Linked DNA regions of Arabidopsis thaliana. The protein of the gene in region 1 binds, or shares a complex with, the protein of each later gene. Each region holds a gene or a part of one and is shown on either strand. Other genes may lie near its edges. A codon is read from its position in the direction of its gene.

Region 1 (3,595 bases):
AATAAGCATACCAGAGATCAAAACCCATAGTTGGTTCTTGAAGAATCTCCCTGCTGATCTAATGAACGAGAGCAACACAGGAAGCCAGTTCCAGGAGCCTGAACAACCAATGCAAAGCCTTGACACAATCATGCAAATCATCTCTGAAGCCACAATTCCCGCTGTTCGAAACCGTTGCCTAGACGATTTCATGACTGACAATCTTGATCTTGACGATGACATGGATGACTTTGACTCTGAATCTGAAATCGACATTGACAGTAGCGGAGAGATAGTTTACGCTCTCTAATAAAAAGCCTTTTTTAACAACCAAAACACTTCTCTATCTGTTCTAAGACCAGTAGTGTTCTGATCCTCTGGTTTCAAATTCTACCAATTTTTGTATTGTCTCTGTTTGTTTCTTGTTTTCTTCATGCACACATATATCATATATGTAATGTAAAATATCATCTGTGTATATTATATATATATTCCAATGTCACACAAAAGCAAATTAACAGTTAAAACAGTTGAAGCAAGTTGAGGTTATGTTCTGTTTTTTCCTCTGTGATCGTCAGATTCTTCATTTCTGGTTTCAATATTTTCCACAAGAACGCAGTATCTTCGTCGCATTTCACTTCCAGATTCTCTAGATTCTTCACAGAATCCGGTAACTCGCATCGATAACAATCTTTCATCGAAATCTTCTCAAGCTTCTTGAGCTTTCCAATTTCTAGAGGCAGGTTTTTCAGTTGGAAGCCACCAGAAACATCAAGAAACCGCAAATTGTCGAGTCTGTCAATCGTTTCAGGTAGCTCTAAGAGACTAGCACAAGAACTCAGTCTCAGCGTTTCAAGGTCCCTTAAGTCACCTATAGCTTCTATGACTCTGCAAAGCTTGTTACAATTTGTGACACTAAGCTTCTTCAATGAAACAACTTGAGAGATCCAATATGGTAATTCATCAAGATTGTAGCAATAGTCAATCTCGATTTCCTGTAGACTTTGTAAAGTTTCAGAAACATCTTCTAATTCGTTGAGAGCATCAACAACGTGACAAAACCATAAGGACAACTTCTCAAGACTCTTGAGACCAAGTTTGGGAATGTCAAGCAAACTGATTGAAACTTTCTCGAATCTGATCCGTTTCAGGTTTGGTAACGAGCTGAGACAAGACAAGTTAGTCAACTTTGCAGGCTCAAGACCGTGATTTATGATAATCACAACCTTCAATTCCTTCATAGTAGCAATGAAGTTTGGTAATGCATAGTTTGATGAAGAGATATTAAGAACTAAAGCTTCAACATTTGGACAATCCATTTCAAACCAACTTGATGCAAATGAATCATCTGTAAACAAAAAAGAAGAAGATCAATCATATGAAGTAAATATGATTAAAGGGTGTATGAAACAGAGCAAAGAAATAATTATATTACCAGTAGAGATAGAAAAGAGAGATGCATTAATAACAATAGGTTGTTTTGGATTTAAACACCAGTTTGGGAATTTGTTATCTTGTATCTCCAAGTTTAATCTTTTCCTTTCGAAAATCGAAGACGACTCTTTTAGGCATTGATTTATAGCAAATTCTCTAAGGACGTTGTCTTGTTTAACCAATAACTCATTGTAGAAACCATCTTCATACTCATTTCTCCTATATTAAAGCAAATAAATAAAGGAAAGTTGGGAAAAATATGGTGAAACCGTTTTCTATAGGCTTTAGGGTTAAGAATTGGTAGATGAATGGAAAGTAACATACCCAATAGGAAGAAGTTTAAGGAGATTGCGAGAGGCAAGATCTTGGAGGTTATTCATACCCTCTTTACCGTATGATGCAGACCATAAGTCAATTATAGTGGAAGCTATTATCCTTTGGTCTTCAAGAAATGAGGCCATGTCCAAGAAACACTCTCGAAGATTGTGGGGCAAGGCATCAAAGCTTTGAATCGAATTCGAATTCATAATGGTTCCTATGAAGGGAGAGGAGAATTATGAATTAAGATGAAAACCAAGCAATTTGAGAGAAATTTTAATCTATTGACCGACTCTTTCTTTGATTATAAAAAACGTGACTCTTCATAAAAGCCATTAGATCAAATTTATAACGGAAAAGTCACGCGGTACTTTGAAGTTTCAAACAAACCATTGTTTGAATCCCAGAACAGAAGTTTAGCTAGCAAAGGAAAAAGGAGACTTGACTTCACATTTTAGGATTTTCAAAGAATTTACCAACATTATATTTTTAACATTAAGAATGTTGAATATTACATTTATAGTTTGTCAAAAATGTTGGTGAATAACTCTGTTCAAATCTATTCAAGTTAGATAAGGATCAAGGATTTAGTAGTACTCTTAAATGGTTTTAAAAGATTGACCTACACAAAATTCTTTGGCATGACATTTTCTCTGTACTTGGACTCAGTAGCCATTATAATGTATATAACAACGAAAATAATGAATAACAAACATTACAAGATCCACAGAAGCTACTACGATAACGTTCTTTCACTTAAAACATTTGAAGCAAGTTCAGGTTATGCTCTATTTCCTCCTCCTGAACTCTCAAATTTCTCATTTTTGGCTTCAGCCTTTCCCACAACAATCCAGTTTCTTCATCGCATTTGACCTCCAGATTCTCTAGATTCGTCACTGACTCCGGCAACTCGCATCCCGAACACTTTCTCATCGAGATCTTTTTCAGATTCTGCAGTTTGCCAATCTCTTGAGGCAACTTTCTCAATCCTAAGCAATGAGAAATATCCAGAAACCGCAAGTTGCTGAGTCCCTCAGTCGCTTCAGGCAGCTCAGAGAGATTCATAGAAGAACACAGCCTCAACACTTCTAGTCTACTCAAGTTGCCTATAGCTTCTGGAAGTTGAGAGAGCTTGTTACAGTTTGTGATGCTAAGTGTCTTCAATGAAACAATTTCAGAGATCCAATACGGTAACTCATCAAGATCATAGCAGTAGTCTATGTCAATCTCTTGTAATTTCGATAGAGCATTAGAGACAACTATATCTTCTGTGTCGTAGAAAACCTCACCGAAACTACACATGACCAAAGACAGCTTCTTAAGACTGCTGAGTTGCAGTTGGGGAATGTCTAGCAAAGTGATTGAAACTTTTTCCAATCTAATCCGTTTCAGGTTTGGTAATGAGCTGAGACACGAGAAATTACTCAATCTTGCTGGATAAAAACCGTGATTTGTGATTGTCAGAACCTTCAGCTTCTTCATTCCAGAGATGAAGCTTGGCAATGCATAGTCTGATGAAGAGAGATTTAGAACTAAAGCCTCAACATTGGGGCAATCCATTTCCAACCATTTCGATGAGAACAAATCATCTGTAAGAAAAAGAGAGACCAATCATAGTTATAGAGAAGTCATATTTCTAGAAACAGCAGAGATTTGTATAATCATTAAGTTTAATTTTCAGAAAAAGAAGACCCCAAAGAATTACCCGTAGAGATAGACAATAAAGAGGCATTAATAGTATTCAAACACCAGTCTGGAAATGTATTCTCTAGTATCTCCAGATTTAGTCTTTTTCTTTCTAAGTTTTCCTTAAATTCGCTTTGACAGATAGCCAACTCCCTAAGGATATCATGTTGAGTCACTA
Region 2 (4,768 bases), about 22 Mb from region 1:
AGATCAAGGCGACAAAAAAAGAATGGAGTGGGATTCTTGAGCAGAAAGTTTTCTTCAAGAGATTTAGGGTTTTGCCATGGAAAGGCAGGCATAGCAAGAAGACCAAGAATAATCAACGAGATACTGATCAAGATGGCTCGAACATATTAGTTATTGCTCTCTTTTTAATGCACCTCTATTGCCCTAACGTTAATGGGCCTTTATTGGGTTTATTATTGGCCCTTTACCTAAGGTATACTCAAAAAGATTTCCTTATTGAGTATATAGATTAGGAGTTTAGGACGTTTAACAAAAAGGAGTAGTAGCTTAGTGAGATTTGACGTGAGTAATTCATTTGATTATTCGTGGGTCTTGGAGGATTTCATTGAAAGTAAGTTTATTAATAAGGACTAGTACTGTAAACTTTAGAGGCATTGCTCACACGGGTGAGGTTATATATGCAAATTACGATCTGGAGTAGTTAGTTCTATGCAATCCGTCACGATCCTAAGACGAATACTCTAAGAGTTGTTGCGATTGATGTAAACTTCATCATACCACCCTTACAAGAACACATAAATAACGTTATTTTATTTCACTTCTGTTACTCTCGCAATGACACACTTTTGTCTTTTGCTTTTGCTTTCTTAAATATAATACTTTTTTTTCTTGTAAACGGGAAGAAATTGGTAACGAAATTTACTAGAAACTACTAATTCTCGTTGTAAATGAATAATAACAATCACACACTAGTAACCTGAAATGTAAATAAATTACCAAATTATTCCATTATTGTGACTTACCATAACTCTCGTACTTCCGGGTGTTCATAAACTCGGTCAAGTATGAAGAATTAAAGCCTTTGATCTTTTTGTACTCTTTCCACCACTTCATGAAACTGCTTTCCTCTAAGAATATCTCCGGCGAAACCTCACGTTTTGTGATTATCTCCCACACGTATCCCTCAAACTCCACGAGTTTTCTAGTCAATACCTCTCTCACATCGTCTCTCATCCCCACAGTTGTATTCAACTGATTAATTACAATCAACGAATCCTCAACTTCAGCCCAAAAACAAGAATCAAACGTCAAAAGATCACTCAAATCTCTCTTTTTGCATCTTTCCTTTTCTATTAATATCGATTCCATTCCAAACCATTTCTCAAGCATAACATAGTGGTGAGACCTTCCCGTAGTTCGATACTCTTTCCGACCCTCGAGGTAATATTCAGCAATATCGAGTGGTTCGATCATCCGTCTGTAATTGTTCCCCGAGAATAGAAACCGTCTCTTGAGAATCGATGCATCGCTCTGCGGCCTCCTCTCTACTTCTTCAACTACTGATTTCCAAAAACGGTTTAGCTCTGATTTGTGGTGATTCTTGATGTTTATATCAAACTCTTTCGACGGAAACGCGAGCTGAGTCTTGAACCGATCGTAGTAACCGATCTTGACCTCCTTGCATTTCTTTTTGTACCACTCTATATAAGCCATCGATATCTTCATGTCGTTTAGTTTCTTAAACATCATATCAAATCGCAGATTTTTCATTTCTGCACGTTTCTCTATTCCTTTGATAACATCTTCAGGGATCAATCTTGAATCCGCCAGAGACAACATGGATTGGTCAAGACGATTTAGAACTTGGCTGTAGTCTACTAGACCCGAATCATGAACACCGTTTAGCAACTCTGTGACCGCCACATGGTCCTCGATGCAAACACATCCGGAATCAAAACAGATCAAAAACGTTCCAAAAGGTTTGAAGAAGTCCATCTTGATACGAGTTTGTGCTGATACAACGTGAAGGAAACATGAATTCCTCACAGAGTTCTCAAGAATCTGTTGAAGAGAAGCGTCTCCGATCAATGGCGAGCCAAATGTGATGCATAAGGGACGTTTTAACGTCGGTTCGATGGTTTCAAGAAGCCATAGCGTATAGAGAGATGCAACAGACCCTCCTAACGCAGCTCCGGTGATGATCACCGGTTTCTCAGACTTGAGCGTTTGGAGCAACTGCAAGAGACATATAACTTTCAAGTTTTCTACGTACAAAGATTCTGTTTCTTATAGTTGTTGACTTTTAAAACCAGACAATACACAAAGAAACATATACTAGATCAAACAAAATCTGAAACAGAGTATTAAAAAGCTATTGGACTGAATTGCAAACACGGCAGAGATATATTTCTGCAGACACTAACTTTCAAGATTCTGAATTAGTCTTAAAAACGAGATAAGACTGAAGAGATGGAGATTAAATTACCTCTGATTTGAGGTAAGTGAGACTAGTAGAAGCAGAGGTAAAAAGGTTAAAAGCAGGTGTGTGAAGAGAGAATGATGGGTTGTTCTCGGAGCAGAGGAATGGGAAAGGATTTTCTTTATCTTTCACATGAAGAAGAGTAGAATCAGAGCTACTACTTCTGCAGATCGGTGGTGCGCTAAAAACCACAAGTGTGAATTTCTCTTCTCGGTGAATCTGAAATTCTAGACCTGAATCTTTTTTTTTTTTTGAAACTTGTAGACCTGGATCATGATTCGAATAAGGTGGGTTATGTATCTCCAAGATCTTACTCCATGAGCTATGTAAGAGACCAGAGGTCACCACAAGCTTCCCAAGTGCAGAACCTTTTCTAAAAACCAGGAAAATTGTGAATTTAAGTCAATGTCTAAGGAACAAGAAATAAAAATATCATCAACAAAAAAATACGGTTTTCAAGAAACGAAAGAAGCTGAACAAAGCAGGTTAAGTTAGAAAGACAAGAGAGTGAATTGTAATGATTACAGTGAAGAAGAAGACTCCATGGCGTGAGCTGGAATAGATCTGTGGAGAAGACAATACAAAATTATGGATGGTAAGAATGAAAATTTATATTGTAAGACTGAGAGAAATAAATGTCTGAGAACGAGAGTCCATATTGAAAAATCATTGAACTGATAATAATTATTATAAAAAAAAAAAAGAAGTGTATCTGAAAGTCAATGGTCCCTTTTCCGGGAAGAATCGCCAAAGGCGAAGAGTTCAACATACTATTAAGATAGAACAAGTGTGAATAAAAATAACACGCTTGCATTTGAAAGCTTACCATATAAGATAGGACTCAAATGTGTACAAGAGAAGGACCAAAAGAATCATAAATACCCAAAAAGTCACAAAGAGTTTGTTTATTCTTTCCCTTTTTTAAAACATTTAAATATGTATATCATTATCACAAAGAACTTGTGGAATAAGTTGACATGTATTTGTTACTCCAAGACGAATTTGTTACTCCAAGTCTCCCAAGTCCCAAGTAAGTTCTCCTTGCGCAAGACTTTCCCAAATGATCTTCAAACACATCGGCCCAAATAGGCTGGACCATATGCACATAAGAGTCTATATAAGGCCCAAATAAGATTTGCAATTAGAGCATTTGACCCAACTGAATAACAACATTACCGCTAGCAGAACACTCATCTTTTGAGCTTCGCTATGTGCATTTCTTGTTTTCTTTCTTTTTTTAGGTTCTTCTATCTATTACATAGTTTCAGCGATACAAGAGTTACATGAGCCGAAGAAATGCCTAATAAAGTAACCTGTTAGAATAATAAAACTTTATCCATCCCTATATTATTCAATACAAAACAAATTCATAAAACCCTTAATTCATCGAGAAGGTTTTTTTCATTATTTAGTATTCTACGTCCCGTAAACAAAGATCCAACTCAATATTACTATAACAAAAACAAACGCATTACAAACTTATAAAAACTCCATTGATTTAAATTATTTCGTTTAACAACCATCGTCATATAAAGGTTCAAGGACATTTGGATTTTCCACCACGTGTCTTCATGTTGGCGTAACAAGATCCACACTTCTCCTTATTACCGTAGGTGCCTGGGGGAACACACTTGCAGCGGTAGCAGCACGTGACGCACGCTCTCATACATACGTTCTTCCTCGAGTGTTGCCCACACCTCGTCCCACATAAAGGCACGCAATCTAAACCGTCCAAAATTTAGTCCAATTATACATCCGATCTAATCAACGACCGATAATCATCACACTTTTGAAAGAAAATTATTATTACCTATCCGAGTTCTTACGGGAGGTGGTGTTGGAGGTTTGACAGGCGGCGCTGTAGGTGGTTTAACCGGTGTAGTTGGGGGATTGTACGTAGGTGGTTGGACCGGTGGCGTCGTGGTGGGGGGTTTAACCGGTGGAGTTGTGGTGGGTGGTTTAACCGGTGACGTTGGGGGTTTGTACGTAGGTGGTTGGACCGGCGGTGATTGAACTGGTGGCGTAGTGGGTGGTTTAACCGGTGATGTAGTGGGTGGTTTAACCGTTGGAGTTGGGGGTTTGTACGTAGGTGGTTGGACGGACGGTGGTTTAACTGTTGGCGTTGGGGGTTTGTACGTAGGTGGTTGTACCGGCGGTAGTTTGATCGGAGGAGTTGAAACCGGAGGTTTTACTGGTGTAACCGGAATAGTTGGAGGTTTGACCGGAGGTTTTGTGGTGGGTGGTTTAATAGGAGTAGTTGGCAGCGTGGGTGGCTTGTACGACGGCGTCGGCGGTTTGAGAGCTGGCGACGGCGGTTTGGTAGCCGGAGATGGCGATGGAAGTGTTGGCGTTGGTAAAGAAACCTATAAATTTAATACAAACATATACCAAAATTTAACTTCATACACAATAATCAATAAAAATGCCTGAGTATATAGTTAAAGACGCATAGAAATAATTAAACTGGAAATTAGAAAACGTACTAAGGCGTTGGATTCCTCATTTGAAGCAGCAAAAACAACCTGCTCG
Region 3 (5,253 bases), on another chromosome or scaffold:
ATTATTCTGATGTTTTCGATTTAAAACGCATTTAAGAAGCTTTTGTTTACTTACAGAAGCATGAAATGAGGTTCTTGGACCAATGAGAACTTCAAGTGACTTGAGGAAAGCTTCGTTAACAGTAGTGTCAACGTCGTTGCCGATGCTTCTCATACAAGGAAATTGATTACGCTTCATCTTTATTTCTCCAAAGGGAGATGTATTCTCCGTAGCGAACAAATCTTCCGACGAGAAAGATGCTCGGAAGGCGAAAAAAACGGTTCCTCCTACTTCTTCTTTGAGATAGTGCTCCGTTTGGTTAGCTCCCTTCGACGCCATCCATGATATGGTGACTAGATCACCGTTGACTCCCGTAAGAGCTTCAAACGCCATTTCTCTTTTCTTGAGTGGACTTTCTTCTCTTTTTTCTTTTGAGTCGTCTTGATTCTTAGTCCTCCTACTCTGTTAATATAGTAGGAAGATGTAGACAGGAGTAATTACCCAAAATACCCCATCATGAGACCATTTCAATCTAAGGAAGGTTGTTTGTTACTGGTTCATGCTATTTGAGATGGCTTTAGGCTTTAGTAGAGTAACGTATATATTCTAAGATCACTGTAAAGTGGAAACCAAATTTGACATTAGAATAGAGAGCTATTACATTACTTCACAATGATCATACAACATGTTTCTTATTCTAAGATCATCATGAAGTGGAAACCAGATTGATAAACATTTCTTATTGCACAAATTAAGAGAAGCAAGTGTTCTAATAGCTTAAATACTCCACCACCTAAGGTTCAGGTATCTGTTATTTCATCCATCATATAGTCTCGCAGAGGAGAATGCGATTTGTGATTTTTGGGAAGCGTAATCCACCACTTTCTAAACGTTGAACCCTCCAGAAATATTTCCTTATCATCTACCTCCCCGTCTGTGATCCATTCTCCAAGCATCCCTTCTAATGTCTTAACTCTTACCTCAACTTCCTCGTATGGCTTTCCTTTGAGTTCTTCAACCTCAGCCCAAAAGCATGATCCGCACTCGGATCCCGAATTCTTTAGAGTCTCTTGAATTTCTTCTAGCTGTAACCCTAAGTTAAGACCATTTACCTTGTTCCAAAATACATCTTCTGCAATCATTCCGTTTGGCTTCAGTATATAATGTTCGTAGCCTCTCTGAGCATATATGTAGCGGGTTGGTCTTCCTCTTTTCATGTACGGCCCTGTGTCTTCGTTCTTTAAATGTCGATGGTAGTTTGCAATATCAAGAGGCTCAACTAATCTGCGGTATCGAGTTGCTAACTTGATCCAATCTATGTCCCCTTCGAACTCATCTGGAAGTTGACATTTCTTCATTAAACCAAGCACCTCGTCAAAAACACCGGCTAACTCAGCTCTCTTGACGTTTGCTTTGAAGTCATTCTCTTCATTTGAAACTTTGAAGGAATCATAATACCCATTTTTATGGGCTTGACACTTTGGCTTGTATTCATCTTCTATCCATGCTAGTTTCTTTAAAAACCTCTCTTGCTCGATCACCTAAAAACCACAGAACCAACAAGTTTTATGTTGTTAGACACAAACAGACGAAGCACGTACCTGCATTATTCATGAACAAGCTTATCAACCACAAACCTGAATAATCTTCTTCTGATTCTCTACTCGTTTCTTCTCTTCCTCTAATGCAGCTTGAACGTACTGTCTGCCTCTTGTGCTCTGCAGAAAAAGGAAACACTCTGAAGGGTTTAAATGATTGCAAGAATGGAGCTATGGAGCTGCACAGTATGAAAAGAGAGAGAGAGAGAGACTTACCACTCCAAGGTCATTGAGCGTAGACTCTATTGAGTTTTCTCCATCCAAATGATTAAACAACTTCTTTCCCATCGACTGTACCAGTTCCTCATAGCTATGATGATCTCTGATACTTCGAAATGGAATTAGAGACCATTCTTGTTCATCGCTGGCTTGAGAAGTGTAAAACAGCATTTGAAGAATGGCGTCCGAGTTGTTCACTGCAACCAATCTCTTCTCTGTAGAGAAAACAAAAGTACCGGCGGGTCTATAAGGACTTAGCTCAAGGAAACTAGAAAGGGTCTCTAAAAACGCCTCTGCGCTTCCAGTCAATTCACAAACAGCTTGGTTTGCAACAGTTGATGTGTCTCGCATCACCCTTGTGTAAAACTCTGTTATTCTCTGTTCACTCTCTTGGACGGAAGACTTTCTGGGATCCAATTGGGCAAGAACATGAGGCAAAGTTTCCTCTACAGACGCCTTTCGAGCAAGCATAATCCGAGGGACAATATCGAATCTTGAGACAAAGTTCACAAAGAACCGGCTCCATTTTTCTCTCCCAAGTGCGTGACTGAAGATAGAGTCACCAACCAAAGGAGCTCCAAATGTCACACAACGAGGCTCAAGGTAAACATTTGGATTGCGTATGAAGTATTTCTCCAAATACCAAACTGTTGCTAAGATTGCAGTTGCACCTCCTGAGGAATGTCCTGTGAACACTATCTGTTTTCTACTCCTCACAGCCATTTCCACCTGAAGAAGTAAAAGCATAAGAGACCAAAAAAGAAAAAAAAAGAAAAATATATTCGGATGTTTTCAATCTTCTTACAGAAGCTTGAAATGAGGTTCTTGGATCAATGATAGCTTCAAGATTCTTGAGGAAAGCTTCGTTAACAGTAGCTACATCACCTTTACCGATTTTCCTCATACAAGGAAACTGAACACGGTTCAACTTGATTTCTCCAAAGGAAGATTTATTGTCCGGATCGAAGAAATCTTTCTCTGAGAAAGATGGTTGGAAAGCGAAGATTACGACTGCTCCTGCTTCTTCCTTGTGATAGCGCTCGGTTAGGTAAGCTTGCTTCGAGGCTGACCATGATCTGGTGATTAGATCACCATTGATTCCGGTAAGAGCTTCAAACGCCATTGATCTATATCTATTCTCTTTTCTTTAGTGGACTTTCTTCTCTCTTTTTTCTTTTGAATCGTCTTGCTTCTTTAATCCGCTCCTACTCTGTTAATTTATGGGAAGATGTAGACAGGACTAATTAGTTACCCAAAATACCCCATCATGAGACCATTTCAATGCAAAAATGGGTTTTTTTTTTTGGAGTTGACTCTTTGGCTATTGGAGACTCATGAAGAAAGAAAAGCTAGGAATCTTAGCTTTCCACGTGTCGGTTTTACATTGGTGTATGGCTTTGTACATCCGACATGACTGGAGTTTCGCAGAAACTTTCATAAACATTCACATTTGGTCGGAAAGTTTTCTCTGTGTAATCTTTGCTTGGAAATTTTGTAGCTTGACTTTGGAGTCTTCGTCTCTTTAATATAGACTCCATCTTTTGGTTTGAGATGTCACTCTCGGTTGGGATTTCGCAGTAACTCAATGATATTCACTTTTTTGTCGGAAAACAATTTTGTTGTTTAATGAATGAGGAGATTTGTTCGCTTGGAGTTAAGTTTTTGTAGCTTGACTTGGGTTTTCAGATTTGGTCTCGTATAGAAGAAATCTACTACTTTAACTCTGTTTTGCTTATAAATCTTATCCGGAAAGTAAACCGGATAATCTACAAGATATGGAACCGGTTCGATTTCTCTCAGCTGAATATTAACCGAATTAACTAACTACACCTTCTTGCCTGGTCCGTTTTTGCGTTCGGCAAGACGCGTCACATTCGACTTTTACTTGTTTGATTATGAAGTTACATGAACCGGACTAGAAAAATTTAGTTTGTTTTTTTGGCTAAACCAAATTGCATAACCATATTTTGCTTTCAGATAGAATGAAAAAGCCTAGGAGACTAAATTAACAAAAGAAACAAAAAAAAGTCTAGGAGACTAGAATTTTCTTGGTCTTAATAAAACCCAACTTGGGGAAATTTCTACGAAAAGCCATGTAAAGTGTTCCAACCAACGCTTAAAATAACTAACTTATCTCGCTGGATTCGATTCATGTAGACAGCTTTATTTTAATTAGACAAAAGATTAGCTTGTCTTCGTGTAATGAACGGTACTAAACTACTAATCCATTCCTAAATCATTATTTAAGTAATCTTAACAAAAGAAATTCATATGTTAACTTCCAAAATAACACACCACCATTTTACATATCTCTCATGTAAAGAAAAAAAAAATGTATCTCTTCTCCTCTCTAATGAATCCAAGTCTACAATTTACATTTCTATCTTATAAAAACCCATCTTTGTCACTCTTGATCAGTCTTGGTTCTATCAGCAAAAGAAGCCGTAATGTCTCAAAAATTGTAAGCCGAAAGAATCAGGACATGCATGTGTGTGAATCTTTGAGCTTTTAAAGAACATATCGTACGTGGAATCTGATAAACTCAGATCTTTGCGCGTTTTAGCTGCGAGTAGATATCATTAGCTTCAAGCTCTCTCTTGTGCATAATATTCTTAAAAGCTCTTTCCTCAGCTTTCATTAAAGAATCTCTTAATCTCTTCACATCAGCTAATTTCACAGGCTTCAATAAGAAATCTTCAGCTCCTTCTTCAAGACATCTGAATAAATATAAGGAACCAAATGTTAGTGATCTAATTCCATAAAGTTTATAACTTTGGATACAGAAAATGGCCAGCTCATATATGATAATCATTAAACTTAATCTGGTAAAGAGGGTTTGGTTCCTTAGTAATAAGCAAAGGCATGTGAGGTGTCTATCACGAGGATTGGGATTTTATAAATGACCCTACCTAAGATTATGCAACCCAAACAATTAAAACATATATTATAAAGTTTTGGAGGGCCTAACATGTCACCGGCTTATATAGAATCAAATCTCAAGAGAAGATCTTGCTTAACTTATGATGGATTATTCTTTTCTAAATTTATGGCCACAAGATAAATTTTATTATTCCTAAGATCCATTTTAAAAATCATTTTAGGACCCACTAAAATAAACACCAAATCTCAGCTTGATCAAATATACAACCACCACCAAAGTTAACCCCATGATAGTTAAAAAGTAATCATATAATAACCTTTTCTATCATAACAAAATCTTGTGATTATACAACAATTTAATTTAGTCAATACATATCCTTTAACGGTAACTTTATCACAAATCCTAAATTAGTGTGATTACTTTAAAAAGTTTCCTAAACAAACAATACCCTCTAAATCTAATCATCCCCATCTCCTGAAGTAATAAATGCACAAAATCTACTATATTTGGTAAATTTTGGTCCTACATAATCTTGACCTAAACAAGAATTAAGGATCATAGTTAAGATTATTATAG

The links. Proteins that work in one complex are often made in the same cells at the same time.
Region 2: the proteins of AT5G66890 (region 1) and SAG101 are in contact, whole or in part, in a crystal structure (PDB 8YN0), measured with the Arabidopsis thaliana proteins. Residues at the interface, in NP_201490.1 of Arabidopsis thaliana: Leu190 (codon at 1,181), Lys214 (codon at 1,109), Trp236 (codon at 1,043), Phe237 (codon at 1,040), Tyr264 (codon at 959), Tyr266 (codon at 953), Asn288 (codon at 887), Asn290 (codon at 881), Ala314 (codon at 809), Phe338 (codon at 737), Gln339 (codon at 734), Tyr362 (codon at 665), Arg363 (codon at 662), Asp383 (codon at 602), Phe386 (codon at 593), His407 (codon at 530), Asn408 (codon at 527), Leu409 (codon at 524), Leu411 (codon at 518), Leu412 (codon at 515), Leu414 (codon at 509), Phe415 (codon at 506); in NP_568307.3 of Arabidopsis thaliana: Leu288 (codon at 1,521), Met292 (codon at 1,509), Lys296 (codon at 1,497), Asp299 (codon at 1,488), Ile302 (codon at 1,479), Tyr306 (codon at 1,467), Trp309 (codon at 1,458), Tyr310 (codon at 1,455), Lys313 (codon at 1,446), Cys314 (codon at 1,443), Val317 (codon at 1,434), Arg324 (codon at 1,413), Pro332 (codon at 1,389), Ser333 (codon at 1,386), Lys334 (codon at 1,383), Glu335 (codon at 1,380), Phe336 (codon at 1,377), Asp337 (codon at 1,374), Ile338 (codon at 1,371), Asn339 (codon at 1,368), Asn342 (codon at 1,359), His343 (codon at 1,356), Glu347 (codon at 1,344), Arg350 (codon at 1,335).
Region 3: the proteins of AT5G66890 (region 1) and EDS1 are in contact, whole or in part, in a crystal structure (PDB 8YN0), measured with the Arabidopsis thaliana proteins. Residues at the interface, in NP_201490.1 of Arabidopsis thaliana: Lys404 (codon at 539), His407 (codon at 530), Asn408 (codon at 527), Leu409 (codon at 524), Asn410 (codon at 521); in NP_190392.1 of Arabidopsis thaliana: Arg383 (codon at 1,505), Lys387 (codon at 1,493), Glu416 (codon at 1,406), Phe419 (codon at 1,397), Lys420 (codon at 1,394), Val423 (codon at 1,385), Glu427 (codon at 1,373).

Annotation. Positions count from the first base shown.
Region 1 is NC_003076.8:26,712,444-26,716,038, forward strand, and holds AT5G66890 (Leucine-rich repeat (LRR) family protein), read right to left. Parts: upstream 2,030-3,595; 5' UTR 1,941-2,029; coding exon 1,738-1,940; intron 1,633-1,737; coding exon 1,415-1,632; intron 1,328-1,414; coding exon 501-1,327; downstream 1-500. Other genes in the region: SNRK2.3 (sucrose nonfermenting 1(SNF1)-related protein kinase 2.3), read left to right, coding at 1-289; AT5G66900 (Disease resistance protein (CC-NBS-LRR class) family), read right to left, coding at 2,488-3,320, 3,437-3,595. UniProt on the Arabidopsis thaliana protein: Possible disease resistance protein.
Region 2 is NC_003076.8:4,826,770-4,831,537, reverse strand, and holds SAG101 (senescence-associated gene 101), read right to left. Parts: upstream 3,040-4,768; 5' UTR 2,785-3,039; coding exon 2,765-2,784; intron 2,613-2,764; coding exon 2,246-2,612; coding exon of another isoform or gene 2,237-2,245; exon of another isoform or gene 2,126-2,236; intron 1,996-2,125; coding exon 769-1,995; 3' UTR 556-768; downstream 1-555. Other genes in the region: AT5G14920 (Gibberellin-regulated family protein), read right to left, coding at 3,777-3,961, 4,050-4,602, 4,723-4,761. UniProt on the Arabidopsis thaliana protein: Acyl hydrolase that triggers the leaf senescence onset. Can use triolein as substrate to produce oleic acids.
Region 3 is NC_003074.8:17,754,774-17,760,026, forward strand, and holds EDS1 (alpha/beta-Hydrolases superfamily protein), read right to left. Parts: upstream 3,375-5,253; 5' UTR 2,920-3,374; coding exon 2,602-2,919; intron 2,526-2,601; coding exon 1,794-2,525; intron 1,698-1,793; coding exon 1,617-1,697; intron 1,521-1,616; coding exon 780-1,520; 3' UTR 556-779; downstream 1-555. Other genes in the region: AT3G48080 (alpha/beta-Hydrolases superfamily protein), read right to left, coding at 55-372; RR5 (response regulator 5), read right to left, coding at 4,339-4,513. UniProt on the Arabidopsis thaliana protein: Positive regulator of basal resistance and of effector-triggered immunity specifically mediated by TIR-NB-LRR (TNL) resistance proteins.